Nothobranchius furzeri: one gene and its partner. The main gene of each other region encodes a partner of the protein of the gene in region 2 in a complex. Links are inferred from orthologs where the notes say so. Each region holds a gene or a part of one and is shown on either strand. Other genes may lie near its edges.

Region 1 (7,364 bases), on a different chromosome or scaffold from region 2:
CACCGAAAACACTCCATGTGATACACATTGTCCCGGGCCCTCATCACCAGGTCACTGCTGCAAAAGCCCATGTCACACTTTGCGCACTTGATGCCAAATAATCTGGAGAAGGAAGGAGCGCGCATTTACAACACTTAATTTGCATTTACAACAATACTTGCACTTCCCTGCGTTCAAAAATTAAGACGATTTTTTAATTAATCCACAAAAAAGTCAACCAGTCCTTCATACACACCGTGCATAATCTCTTTTACAGTATGTTTTCCCGTCTCGGACGAAGCAAGTGCACGTCTCGTCCAGGTACTGGTTGCACTCTGCGCACTTGAGACAGGCTGCATGCCACTCCAAGTCCGGAGAGACTCTCAGGATGTACTGGTCGTGTATCTGACTTCCACAGCCCACACACATTGCAATTCCCGACTTCTCTGCGGAGAAGAACCAAAGCATTAATGTAAGACATGCATGCGCTCTTTTAATCCTGATTAGATCCTTTTAAAACCACCTCCATACTGACGAGAGGACTGTTTAGCACAACAAAGCAGAATATTACTATTATTACTATTGTTGTGATGAATGAAAAAGCTATATCACTGTTTAATGTTTTAACAAGTATTTCTATGTACCTTTTACCCTTTTTAAAATATTGATTGTTTACAATTTGTTGCTTTTTTTGGGACAAAAAGTCGGCAGCGACAAATAAAAATCCGACAACAACTACCGAGAAAAGACAGAAACGCGTCTTACTTTTTGAATAATCCCCCATATCATCCAAAAAAGAAGTGTTGATCAGGATGTCCACCATGCAGGAGAAAGGTCGAGGGCTAATCTGACGGATGGAAGAGAGGAGCGCCAGAGGAGACCGTCCCGTCCCTGGCCGGATGATAAACTTGTATTCCTCCTGCGGGAGGTGGAGAGAAAACAAAGACCATCGACCAGTGACGTCTGCAAAAACCCGGACGTGTGTGGGTCCGGGGAGAGGGTACCATGTAAGTCTCCTCATGGCCCCCCTTGCTGCTCTTTTTATTGCTCTTTTTTGTTGTTGTTGTTCTTTTTGAGTTTTGAGTGCAAACATGGCTGCGTGTCCAAGCGGGACGGTGCATTTTTTTCTTACTAAACTTGCTGAATAATAACTTGCACTTCAACATTTTACTCCTCATCAGAATCTCCATATTTTATTTACAAAAATACTTTATTTGGTGGGTTTTAATCTCAGGTGGCATTAAATAAAATTAGGCAATACAACATTTGCACGCTATATTTTTATTTATAGCCTATGTAGGCAAACAAAACTTAACACATTTTTCGTTCTTTAATTTTAATATTTAATTTGAAACATTAATGTGGTTTGGTTTATGTGGGTATAACAAGTATTTAGTCGTACCGCTGTGGGGAGCCCTCTACTGGGGGAATTTTCGCACGCAGAATTTGAATATCAGTAGGATGCACAGTTGGGGAAATTGCACTGGAATTGGGCGTTATCAACAATTAAACGCTCTTTGTTGTTGTTTACCAACAAAAGGAACAAATTCTGTAACTCAAAGCCCATATTATTTTCCTTTTTTATTTGTCTTGAATTTTCTTTCAGACCATCTGTTCCTATAATTGTCACGTGTATGAAAGTCCATGAGGTAAATTGTCAAATTAAACTTCAAAAGTTTGTATTTTTTTTACATAAACGCAAACGATTTAATAAAAGTTACCACTTATAATAATAAAAATAATAATAATTATGATAATAATAATAATAATAATAATAATAATAATAATAATAATAATAATAATAAAAATCATCATTATTATTTAACTGATTACCAATAAAATAACATTCATGTGGGTAATGAACCCATTGCTGTTGTTGAAATTAAATAAACAAACAATAAGGGAATAAAATATGTTTATTCAAACACAATTTAAAAGTATTTCAGTTGTGCTTCATTCATCTCTTATTTTAATTAATTAACCCTCTGATGCATGAATTATGAGATCTTCAACCATGATTTTTTAAACAATTTTTTTCATTCATCTTTAGGTGTGAATGAAACAAATTTCAACAAATATTTTTGTAATATTTTGTTAATTTACTAATAATTTATTACATGTCCATCTCAGTGGACAGTGTGCATTCTGAACATGAAATATGTTGGCTTGACTTACTGAAGTCCAAATGGAGGGGCTCACATGCAATAAAGTCTTCAACAGCTGTGCTTAATAGCAAAAATAAAGAACTAACAATTTTGAGTACCTGTCCACTGTAGTGACCATTATGCATCAAAGGGTTAACACGTTATTCTCAAAATATTTACATATTTTGCTTATATGACCTCTTCATGTAATTTGTATTATTATATCAAAAGGTGTCAGAAATGAACTTGACAGACAAAACTCGTCGATAATTTATCAGCTAGTTTTCTGCTAAACTGAAACATATTTGAACCTATTTAGAGTTCCTGGTTCTTTGTCAACATTATTTATTTATAAAAATAATTAAGATGATCAAAAGGAAAAATAAATCCATAAAGAAAAATTACACCCGTAAGGATTTATAGTGAGAATGAATACTAAATTCAAAATAGCTCAAATAATTAACAGAATGTGGCCAAATAAAAACACATTAACAATCACAAGACATGATAAAAATTAGATTTACACAAAAACCCACGCGATAACACATACATGTAAACAAACGAGCAAATTGTTAAATAAAATGCAACAAAAACAGGTGGAAAAAGACTGTGTGTTGCTCTACAATTCTGCAAATTTCCCAGTTGGAAACATTTTTGCTTTTCTGTCAGATCAATGAGCAGAGCTGGACTTGGTTTGTAACTATCGCGAGATTTCGTTAAATACGTCAGAAGACCTTTGGCACAGATCGGGAGAAAGCGTCCTGCAAAAATCTTTCTGCTGCTGCAGCAAGAATAAAGAGACAAATATGAACAGAGTTTTGACCAGAACATCCTTGAAGAACTTGGTACGTACACGACTGGGCCCAAACAAGCTGGTTCTCAGTTAGCTGTAGCTTTTGGCGACAGACTTGTGGCATGTTTTTTGTAGCAGCTGCTAACTGTTAGCCTTTTTCATTCAGAGATAGGTCGTTCTCGTTTATTATAATTAGGGCAAATTTAAATAAACACTGCGTTCTTGTAATTTAACAATGAACACATTTCTGTTTTCGATATAAAAGTAAATGCAGACGTTTTTATCTCTGTGTGGCAGACAGTTGTTAGCACTGTTAGCCGTTATAAAACCTTGTGTTGCGAAACTGCTACATACAGGTGTCACCTATGTAATGCAATGATCTTACAGTTATGACAGTATTCCATCAAAACACGAGGTTATTAGTGTGTTTTTCTGGTGTTAGTATATTGAATAAAAGGTTCAGTTTGTTATACGTTTCTATAAAATTGTTCTTAAACGTAATTACATAATTTTATAGGCGTTTGATGTAACTGGCTTCATATAAGAGACTTAAATCTAACGCATGTATTATTTTATGTTCTATTCTGTTCTCCTGGCTTTATCTGAATGACTTTACCTGAAGACCATCACTAGACCAGGCTGGTATTTTCCTGTTTGGCTTTGACTCTAAGCTGATCCGGAGGTTCTTTGCACACTATCGTAATGCTGTATTTGCATTTTCCCTACACTAGATTGTGAGGTCTAAATGATGATGAGTGAATAAATAAACGAGTGACTAAATTAAAGCTAATATTTGTTCATTCATTAATTGGGTACAACACACTAATATTTAGCTGGTTCTGACTGAAATGTGTTTTTCCCAACAGACAGGCTTTGTCCAGAGGTTTCAGAGCACCTTGGTTGTTGCAGAACACAACAATGATAAGTTGACCCCCATTACACTCAATACCATCACTGCTGCCAGTAAGCTCGGGGGAGATGTGTCTTGTCTGGTTGCTGGAACAAACTGTGCAAAGGTAGGAACATCTTTTGTCAATTTCAATAATCCACACTTTGTTTTGGCTGAAAGTTGTATGATTTTACGCAGATACATTATTTTGTTTTTCTCCTTTCAGGTTGTGGAGCAGATCAGCAAAGTACAGGGTGTGAAGAAGATCCTGGTGGCCCAGCACGAGTCTTACAAAGGTGCTTTGCCAGGTAAGGTATTTATTTCACAGTAACTTCCCCCTCTTTTTTTATTTTCACATTTGCTTTACTTGACACGTTTACAGGTTAATAATGATGTTTATAACTAGCACCCCTGCTGACAAAGGTCAGTCATTAACCTGAATTTGTTTTTTACCTTTTTTTTTCTTTTAGAGGAGTTGACTCCACTCATCTTGGAAACACAAAAACAGTTCAGCTTCACTCACATCTGTGCCGGTGCATCAGCCTTCGGAAAGGTAAGTCACAGTTCCCCGAGTTTCATTTAACATATTCTGATCTATTAAAATGAGCAAACACAAATCTTACCATCTTTACTTCCTTTGACATCTGTTCTTACAGACATTTATGATCAACAGCCCAATATGTATTTTTTGTCTGATAGAACCTGCTTCCTAGAGTTGCTGCCAAGCTGGATGTTGCCCCAGTTTCAGATATTATTGAAATTAAATCTCCAGATACTTTTGTCAGGACCATTTATGCAGGTATGGCATGTTTTGTGCACAGTAGGTGCAGGACCTTTTCAGCATATATCCTGGTTCATGTATTTGTTTTTAAATATAAATATAATTTGAGTGCAGTCTTTAGTAAAACCGTAAGTTTTAGCCCTGTTTTGCTGCAGGAAATGCCCTCAGCACCGTGAAATGCAGTGAGCCAGTCAAGGTCTTCACCGTCAGAGGGACATCTTTTGAGGCAGCTCCAACAGAGGGAGGAAGCGCTACGTCAGAGGAAGGTAATACACACCTGTCCAGCTCTGAAATCAGAGGTGAAAATCAAAATCATGTTTTAAATATGTTAATCTTCCTGTTGTCTGACTTGCAGTGGCTGCTGCTCCCCCTGCTGGGGTTTCTGAGTGGCTCGAACAAAATTTGACCAAGAGTGACCGGCCAGAGCTGACGAGTGCAAAGGTTGTGGTGTCAGGAGGTATGAACTCCCTACCGAGATGTAAAAACCTGTGCTGAACTTTGAGAAATTGTCAAATGACATCATTTATTTGACTGTATTCCTAAAGTTTTACAATATCTTATTGTTGAATAAACAAAGATTAGCCATCCAAAATGGAAATTGCTTCTTTTATTTTAGGAAGAGGCTTGAAGAGTGGAGAAAACTTTAAGCTGCTTTATGACCTTGCTGACAAACTGAACGCTGCTGGTACTGTGTGGTCATTTTTTTTATCATTTATTATCCTTATGGGTACTTTTTACCTGTTTTTTTTTTATTCTAACACTCCTTTTTATTCCAGTTGGTGCATCCAGAGCTGCAGTGGATGCTGGCTTTGTCCCTAATGACATGCAGGTCGGGCAGACGGGCAAAATTGTGGCTCCAGTATGTGGATAAACCCATTTTTATGCAACAAATCACGATAAATGACAAATGATATAAATAAATATTAAAACCAAGTTAAGTTAATGTTTTAATTTGGGCTAACTACAGTTAGCCCGTTAGCCCTTAAACCGCATTTCAGTGTGATTCTGGAGACTGCTCCTTTAAAAAAAAAAAAAATAAAAGGTTAACTTGCCATCATGTGATTTATCCAGGATACTCCACTTGTGATTATCCACACATTAGATCTTGGGGAAAGTACATGATGGCACTTTTAGGGCCCTAAATGATTTAGCTGATCCATTAGAGCAGAATACAGCAGATGTCTGCCCAACCATACCAGACTGTCTGTTTTCTTTTAGTTTTTTTTCCCATTGTTATAATACATTTCTGTTCACACATTTCAAGTTTACCTCTCTGAAACATCAGGCTGTGCATTAAAGTTACACTGAATATTAGTGTTTTATTTTTTAATTATTATTATTATTTTTAATATTAGTTTTGGGTTGGATCAACCTTGTGGATCTAGAATAACCTTTAGTGTCTCTTGTTTTCTTTTTGTTTTGCTCGTAGGAACTTTATATAGCGGTTGGTATCTCCGGAGCCATCCAACACTTGGCTGGAATGAAAGACAGCAAGGTAAAGTCACTAGAGAAACGTAGATGGTGTTTTTTCATTGTCTTATTTTTTCTTTTGAAATTTAAAGTTACACCTTTTCATTTAGTTTAAAAATGAGCAAAGTTATTGCTAACATGCTCAGTTTAAAATTAGTAATAAAACACACCACCTGAAATGAAACAATCAGCTTTTGGTGAATTTTTACATGTAAACAGACTTTATTAATTGTAATATTTAGGTTTACAAACACATCTGATCTCTTTTCTTGCTTTAGACTATAGTTGCCATCAACAAGGACCCAGAGGCTCCTATTTTCCAGGTTGCTGACTACGGCCTGGTAGCTGATCTTTTCAAAGTAAGTGTCTTGGATTATTGTTGCAGTGGCAGTAAAATCTCATATGAGACTCTGAGGAAGGAGTTGCTGGACTCTCTCTGCATGTTTTCCAGGCTTTTAGCTGTGAATGACCGTAAGAATATATAACATTTGTTTCTTCTCTTATAAATTTTGCACGATGCCTTATTCCACCTCATGGAAATGTGCAGCTTCTGAATTATTAAGCTGTTGAATTAATCTAAGGAGGGTTCTGGCCGCAGCTTGCTGCTAAGACAGGAACACATTAGCATCTCTGGGGATATAAAAAACTGATCCAGAGTGAGATAAAAGTTGGCCTCAGTTTTGCTCTGTGCCTCTAGCTGCCAGGCCTCTTATACGCTCAGTTGCATTCTTGTGTCAAGTTGGTACTTGGGGATATTGAGCCAGGTGTACTGGCATGACTAACAGCGGAGTCCAGCACTGCCTGTGAAAGGCTAGTAGGTTATATTTTCATGTGTGTCCTGTCGGTCATATTTTATTCAGCCCATCGGTGGTGCCTGAGCAGCCCAGGTGTCCTGACAAACTCTGTAGGAGTGATTAGTAATAAGCTGGTGGCAGCAGAGTTGTGACCTGCTGGGTGAGATCCCCTTACATGTGATCACTCCTCAGATAACTGATTAAAATGAATGGGCTTTCTACCTTTTCCCAAATGGACAGGTGATACCCTGCACCGGCACGGGCAGCGACTGCCGGTTCTCTCCAGGAGTCGGGAGCAGAGGCATCTCATTTATTTTGCACTTTACAGAGGACTGCTAAATGTGTTTTTTCTAAAGAAGGAAAAACATTTTTTTGTCACTTGTTTATTTATAAACCAGTTGTGTCCAATCTGGATCTTGGTTGGTCCTTATTACCCTGATCATGCAAGTCGCTGCATAATAACCTCATTAATGCTCTGACATGTAAGTCATCCATGTATTTTTTATATATAACA
Region 2 (7,540 bases):
AAAATAAAGAAAAGACAGCGTGTGTTGTTTAAAAAGCACAAGAAGCGCACCGTATTCCTGTGGGATGTGACCGTTCACCAGGCCGAGCTCCCATGCCTTCTTAATGATGGGGAATGGATACTGTAAAAAAGCATTTTAAAGTTTCTCATTAGAGATAACCGTCATGGCTGAAACACACAGCAGCAGGACTGGATCTAGCACCACCTAAAAGGCACGATTACATTCTATAAAGGGTTTGAATCCCTGACATATCTATTGTTCCTTTTTAGGGATTTTGCTTAGAAAAATTTACTCTACTATTGATTTGCAATGTTGATGTTTTACCTCCATAAAAAACACAAGCCTGAAGGAGTTTTGCTGTGTGGTGGAGTTGCTAATGCTAACAGTTAGCGTCTACTAGTCGAGATGTTCTCTGCTGTTTCCTGGATGCTAAACAAACAACAGCCTTCACCATTGTGAGTCAAGATGGGTGAGTCCATGAATGTTAAGTGACAGCGTGACATAGATCTGTCAGGATTTTCTATCCTAGAGTTTCACCGTCTGCTTTCTATCAGATGCTAATGCAGGAGATAGGTGTAGGAGACTATTTTCATGTTCAGTTTGCATGAAAAACTCAGAGACTCATTATCAGAAATAATCAATAAAATGTTTTTTTTTTCAGGGAATCACACCTTTAATTTAATTAGCCTAAAAGCCTTTTTTGAGTTTCTGTAAAAAGACAAAAAGGTTTAACTGTTGAAAGCTGGTCAGGGTTAGCACTGAAGGATGGAGACACCTTCATGCTAAAGTCCTACTAGTGCAGTTGTTATGAAAATTACTTATTACTTAAATGTAATTTCTACTTGTTTATACATTTTCTGATTTCATCAGTAAGAATATTATTTAGACAAGGATAAATCATTATGATGACACGTTTCACCTTTATGTTAATATTGTTTTATTTGATGCACTCCACTTTGATCAGCACCAGTCCATCAACTGCTGCATTTTAATAACTAGTATTAAAGGTGAGTACACCAATATTTGCACAAAAATAATTTTTGTTTTAAACTCTCAGTGACACACTTTGCAGGGGGGATTTGGTATTTAATTTTTCTTGGCGTCTGGAAAAACATCTTCTGCCCCCCTTTATTTGACTTTCTGCCCCCTTTATTTTGGTCCAAGATCATTACTGGGCTGGCCCTATTGAAAACATTCTTCACCCCTGCTTGGTAGACTTAATGAATTATTTTTAAGCCAGTATAAAAATGACTGAAACACAAATTTGGCATTATTGACCAATATCTTTGATTTCAAGATGTATTACAGTGAACATTATAGTAAAGTAAATTTTTCTAGTGCAGAGAGGATACAACCCATAGAAGCACTGATTTGATCTCATTTCAGAGAAAAATAGAACAGGTTAGATGCACCTAATAAATAAAATTACTAACAAACTCAAAGATCTGTTTCTTTGCTTCATTGTTGTCAATATATCGTGATATATTTTCTAGCAATATTATATCAATATTCAAAAGCCGCATATCTAATTTTGGGAAGAATTTACATTAAAACATTTGTGTATTTTCTTTTTTTTGTGTGCAATTCAAACATCAACCGCTAGTTGGCAGCAGTGTGCAGTTGGTTTTGTTTCCACCATTGAAATGTAACGCCGGGGACACACCGGCCGCGGAAGCGCCGAGAAGCGAATCGCTCACGAAATTCGGCCGCTGATCGCCGCTCCTCAGTTCAGATCAGGCGCGCCCCAGTCGAGGCGCGCCTCGGCTCAGCTGTAGTTTTTCTTTTAAACACTTGGTGTCCTCCATTTCCTCTCTGCCTTTTCTCAGCTCTTTTCCTCTACGTTTGAGTGTGTGTGTGTGTGTGTGTGTGTGTGTGTGTGTGTGTGTGTGTGTGTGTGTGTGTGTGTGTGTGTGTGTGTGTGTGTGAACCTATGGTATGAGTTGTTTCTGCCAGTTGAATCTCTTGGAACCCGCTCCAATTCTGGATCACGTATCACGCTGTATCCTAGCAGTTTCTTCCGAAATGGGACGTAAATAATCATGCCAGAATTGACGCGATTCACCCGCGGCTCGCGAAAAAAATAGAGCCAACGCCGAAATGATCGCTGCACGGCGCGGCCTTGAGCGCCGGCGCGAGGCAATTCGCGGCGCTTCGGCGGCCCATGTGGTCTATAGAATAGCTTAACAAGGGCGCCGAATGAAGGCGGTCCCATTTTCGCGGCGCTTCCGCGGCCAGTGTGTCCCCGGCGTAAATCCCTGTAACATGGTTCAGATACCTCATGTTAAACACCAGTTTGGACTGTTAATTGAATTCTATATTAAATTCAGTCTAAAAAAAGCGCTACAATTGTCTGAATGTATTGTAATATATTGTGATATATTGCATCGTCTCCCTTTTATCATGATACGTATCGTATCACCCTAATTTCACCAATACACATCCCTAGTGTCGAGTCAGTGTTATTTTTTCTGCTCCATCACAATTTAACAGCTAAATGACCTAAGCAGCATGTCCACAAGTTCTTCAGAAACCCCTTAAACACCCCATAAGTCTAGGTAATCTAAAACATGCAGGGCAGTTGCTCTCAGGATGGAACGACAGGTTTAAACTAATACACAACTCAAAGGCCTAAAAGGTGACGAACCTTTTGCATGACTCTTGCTACTCTGATGTTAAAAGTAGTGTGATATTTATTGGACATGAACATTTTAGCCCCATGTTTGCTGCTCTTACTTCCCCACTCCTGTCATAAGCAGCTGCAACAGGGATCATCTCTTCTCGAGCAAACCTCCTCGCCAGCTGCTGGAACTCCTTCTGCTGATCCGTCAGTTCTACAGAATAGGAGAAAATTATTTCTCCACAGTGAAAAGACTTTTAGGGACAGAATTTCTTCCCACAGGACTGTGATTTAAAAAACACACTGTACCCCACTAACCAAAAGAAAAGCCAGGTGCTCCTGCATGGCCAGCTGCTGCAGCTTTGGCTGCAGTCACGCCAGAGCTCTGCAGACGAATCCCAGACTGAAGACTGGCTCTGAAGACCTGTGCAAGATCAAAACTGAAGTTGTTTTCACACTTTAAAGTTGAAAATTTTCAAAAAACAAACAAAAGAAACTACTAGCTGGTGTATTTGATCAGATAATATAAGCACAAAACTAAATAAAAAAACAATCACATCTAAAGACATCAACTCATGGAAAATGGACCAGGACAGCAAAGTGTGACTGCAAATTTTACTTGGCCAGAGAATATTAAAAACACACAGTGGAAGAATTGTAGTTGTAAGTGGTAGTATTTGAGTGGTAGTATTATTAATGGTGATTAAGTCCCCCAAAATCCCAGGGGAGGTCATCATCAATAGGAGTTCCCATATGAACTCAAAAAGTCCTGTTACTAAATTATATTAACCACCTATTAACATAAAACATCTGTAAACAAACAAGCTTCTTGCTTCCAACATTAAATCTGTTTAAAGTCTGATATTAAGACAAATGACATTCAAAGAGATAACAGATTGAAATCTGAATTAGAAATATAAAAAAAAACAGCTGAATCATTAAACATAGTTTAGTGGAGTTACACACTATAACGTCTATATTATGTTTTACTATAATGACTTGGCTGTAATGAGCAGGTGTTACATTGAATGAAGCGTTTAGACGTGAACCTTTGGGCAAAGCAATGAGCTGGTTAAGCTCAAGGAGCTTCAATAGCTTAGTTTCAAATAATAAAAAGGCAGAACAAAGATCAGAGAACGGGTGCTCTACTGTTCAGGGTCCTTTCAAGAGAAGACCACCTGACTAGAAAAAGCTAATGTGGTTTTTCATGTCATGCTCATCAAATTGGAACTCGTCAGATTTGCAGCTTTTCATTCAAACACGCAAACATTACTAGCTGTTGCTTGTGAAGACGCAGATTTTCTGTTTACGTTCATGATTAAAAAACGATCCACTGAATAAATGATTAAAAACAAACCAACTTCAGAGACGTTAAGACTGGCAAAAAATAGACACAAGTCCATAACATGTGTGTAATTTTATATAAACGCACAAGTGTCCTAAAGGACGAGGGAAAAGCCAAATACTTAGAAGTTATGACCTTGGTAAAAGTTATGTATTCAGATTTTTGGAGCATTTTGCTAACTAGCTAGCTTGTGACGTAACCCCTGAAGTTCACCGGATTTGAATGGAAAAATAAGAATTTCTGTTCTGAACGGCAGTTACAAGCAAGTACAATAACAAGATCATGCTAAATTATCCTTAAAGTCGGAGTCATGTACCTTATTGAGAAGCATTGTCACCTCACAGATGAAGCTTGTAGCATAAACTGATGGCTACGTCTGCTCTACAGCAATGTGATCATCACAACCAATCAGAGCAGCGGAAATGGTCACGTGTTATTTCTCCGCACCCGCACTGTGACTTTTGTCCCAGTTATCTAACGAGACTCACCTCTGCTGTTTATTCTCCTGAGTGAACATGACGGAGTCAACAGTTGAACAGCAAAGGGAACTTCCGGTTACACCACAGATCAAGACTTGAAACTTTAGATCAGGGGTGTCAAACTCAGTTTTGCTCAGGAGCCAAAATGAGGAAAATCTAGTCCCAAGTGGGCCAAACCAGTAAAATTAAAGTATATATAAATTAAAAACTGCTTTAGATTGTTTTCTTTGTTTTAATACGATCAACATTAAATAAAGCTGGAGCCTGAGGACATTGTATTTAAAATAGTTTAAGCACAACATCAATATTAATAAAACACATGAAGCGTATTTGAAAATGTGAAATACAAAACAAAAAACCCAGACTATTCCTCAGTAATTCAAATAACTGATTCACAGATCATATGGCTATATCAGTTTCATGCATGTCTGACTCCTGATACCTGATATCTTTTAGCTTTCACCAGCAGTTTAATTGAAAAATGAAAGCTTATTTTCAGACTACATCGTAGTCAGAAAATAGATTTACACAATCATCTCGCGGGCCGGATTTAAATCGCAAAAATGACACCCCTGCAAACCCCTAACCCAAACTCATCAATTTAAGTCTATAAAACAGTATAAAATACGTGAACTACCTAAAAACGTTATTGGTGAACATTAGGAAATGATATACACCAAGACCCAAATCATTACAAACCATAAAACAAATTTAATGGCTGAAAATAAAATTACAAGAAAAACCAAACTTTGATTAAGTCTAATTATTCCAACGTGTCAAAGGCCCTTACAAACTAATTTGTGTTTACAGTTTAGCCACCTTGTCAACCATGGAAATGTCAACACTGCAGGGCAGCAAGACAACTGTGCTGCAGAGCAGCTCATCTACAAGCAGATGGCGATTTCAATTTTAACAAATCTTTCTCCCCATGGGGTATAACCAATGTTTTTAACTGTGGTCATCTTTAAAATGTTCAATCATAAACGTGTAAGGATTTATTTTTTGAGAAATAAATTGGGATAAATTGCTCATCATTTTTAATCTTAAACCCTGAAATACAGAATTTACACTACATCTACAACAGCAGCAACATGCCTATTTTCAATAACTGGACTCTGGGAGCAGTCGTGTGGGACATTTATAAATTTTATTGGCATATCAAACAGCTGGACATTTATTTGCCTTTCTTTGCTTTTATTTTCCTCAAGTAGAACTCGAGCTCCTTGCCCTCCAGGATGTAGCCGTCTGCCCTGCCACACTGGCCAGGTTTGGAAGCAATGCAACCTGTAAAACATCAAGAACAATCAGGTGAGCTCATTAACCAGTTACTACATCTGGTAACTTAAACACAAACTTCAAAATGTTCTGCTCTTTCAAGTTTCAGTGGATCCACTACTTCCTGAAGTGATTTTGTTTAATTTGTTTGTATTTTACTTTTGGTGGATTTTATAAAGCACAATGAAATAAAGCATGCAAACTAATGGGCTCGACACACGGGAGGCGACATCGCCTCTCCTCCATTCATTTTCAATGAGACATGCACGACAAAGCAATAATCGCGGGTCTCCCTCCTACCAAGCGAAACGCGAAAAACGTGCGTGTGAAATTTTGCGCTCGTGCACAAGCGACGCAATCCCAGAAAGTTTAAACATTTTCAACTTTTCGTCGCTGTCGCTCGGACGAGGACCAATAAACGGAGGTTTCATTCACTGACCAATGAGCGGACAGGATGCTCCGTACATCTCCGAGCAAACATGAAGGAGAAGTTGATTATTATTGTTTTATATATTAAAATCAGAAGTAAGTTTTCACATAACAGCACCTTGTGAAACATATCTATCGCTTTATTAACTCTGATCCGCTTAAATAACCTTAATTCCCTCCAACCTGACACAGCCAAACAAAACAACGGAAGTTTCGATTTCATCATGGAACAGAATGCGCAGACGGATTTGCCGCTGGCCGCCTCCCGTACGTCAGGTAATAAAAGCGACAAATTTTGCTGATCGCGGTCGTTTGTCGCCTCCCGTGTGTCGAGCCCATAATTCTAATGTTAAACTGACCAAGCAGTTTTCCCTGCAGGAACTGTTCTTCCAGGAGAGTGCTGATTTTGGAAGTCTTTTTTCGCTCGTCGTACTTCTTCTGAGTCTTTTTGGATCGCTTCTTATTGAGGATCTCCTCTTCTTCTGGAGTCTGCAGAAATAGACACCAACTTATTAGAGGATGCGATAAAATAAACCCTTCAATCCAAAACTATTTTAAACATGCCTTATTACCAATATTAACATTCACATATTTAAATGGCTCAACAGTCTTTCTCAGAGTCTTATGTATCACCACTTCCATTCAGTAGCAGAACTGAACATTCATCATCATAGAAAGACAGCAGGCCCTCATGTTTCTCATCTTCTCACATGACATCACTAAGTAACCAGGTAAATCTACAGCCACTCACTTGAAGGGCACATATAAATTAGCCTAATCTTGTGCAAAAAGAAATCTATTATGCACTCATAAAACTACACTTGACTAAACCAACTGATTTAAAACATACCAGCTTAGCTCCCTTCTTGCGTCCCAAAGGAGTGGCGTAGTGGGCCTCATACCACTGCCTGAAGGGAAGGCTGTCCACGAGAACGATGCAGTTCTTTACCAGGGTTTTGGTTCTGACCAGCTCGTTGTTGGAAGCATTGTAGACCACATCAATGATCCTGGTCTTGCGCGTGCAACCTGAACACAAAGAATGAGGAGTTACCACCAACTCAAATATATCCAGAAGTCACCAACAAATTATATGTACATGAAGGTCTTTCTCAGAGTCTTTGATATCACCACTAGCACTCAGTAGCAGAACTGGACAAAGTTATCATCAGTGAAAGGTGCAGCAGTGAAGGGTTTCAAAATGTGGAGACTTACCTTCAGAGCCCCATGAGAAGTTTCCAGCATCCAACCTAAGAGCACGGTACTTCTTGTTCCCACCACGGACCCTCACTGTGTGGATGCGACGCGCTCCAATCTGTTTTAGAAAGGAAAAGTATGTTTGTTTGTTTTTTTACTTTTTAAAGCTGCAGCAGTGGTACAACAGCAGTAGTAACGTTC

Evidence for each region. The genes of interacting proteins can lie anywhere in the genome.
Region 1: the proteins of acadm (region 2) and etfa are in contact, whole or in part, in a crystal structure (PDB 2A1T), measured with the Homo sapiens proteins. The link is inferred for Nothobranchius furzeri from reciprocal best matches to the Homo sapiens genes ACADM and ETFA. Residues at the interface, in NP_000007.1 of Homo sapiens: Pro163, Lys173, Pro211, Gln232, Arg235, Glu237, Val251, Glu253; in NP_000117.1 of Homo sapiens: Arg223, Lys226, Arg249, Asp253, Ala283, Ile284, Gln285, Glu304.

Annotation. Positions count from the first base shown.
Region 1 is NC_091744.1:68,359,292-68,366,655, reverse strand, and holds the start of etfa (electron transfer flavoprotein subunit alpha, mitochondrial), read left to right. Parts: upstream 1-2,823; 5' UTR 2,824-2,929; coding exon 2,930-2,968; intron 2,969-3,782; coding exon 3,783-3,932; intron 3,933-4,031; coding exon 4,032-4,113; intron 4,114-4,275; coding exon 4,276-4,358; intron 4,359-4,504; coding exon 4,505-4,604; intron 4,605-4,741; coding exon 4,742-4,852; intron 4,853-4,941; coding exon 4,942-5,043; intron 5,044-5,202; coding exon 5,203-5,271; intron 5,272-5,362; coding exon 5,363-5,445; intron 5,446-6,015; coding exon 6,016-6,081; intron 6,082-6,334; coding exon 6,335-6,415; intron 6,416-7,364. UniProt on the Homo sapiens protein: Heterodimeric electron transfer flavoprotein that accepts electrons from several mitochondrial dehydrogenases, including acyl-CoA dehydrogenases, glutaryl-CoA and sarcosine dehydrogenase.
Region 2 is NC_091751.1:41,389,045-41,396,584, reverse strand, and holds the start of acadm (medium-chain specific acyl-CoA dehydrogenase, mitochondrial), read right to left. Parts: upstream 4,427-7,540; 5' UTR 4,294-4,426; coding exon 4,279-4,293; intron 3,042-4,278; coding exon 2,936-3,041; intron 2,832-2,935; coding exon 2,734-2,831; intron 121-2,733; coding exon 51-120; intron 1-50. Other genes in the region: rps8a (small ribosomal subunit protein eS8), read right to left, coding at 5,616-5,725, 6,505-6,634, 6,996-7,171, 7,358-7,457. UniProt on the Homo sapiens protein: Medium-chain specific acyl-CoA dehydrogenase is one of the acyl-CoA dehydrogenases that catalyze the first step of mitochondrial fatty acid beta-oxidation, an aerobic process breaking down fatty acids into acetyl-CoA and allowing the production of energy from fats.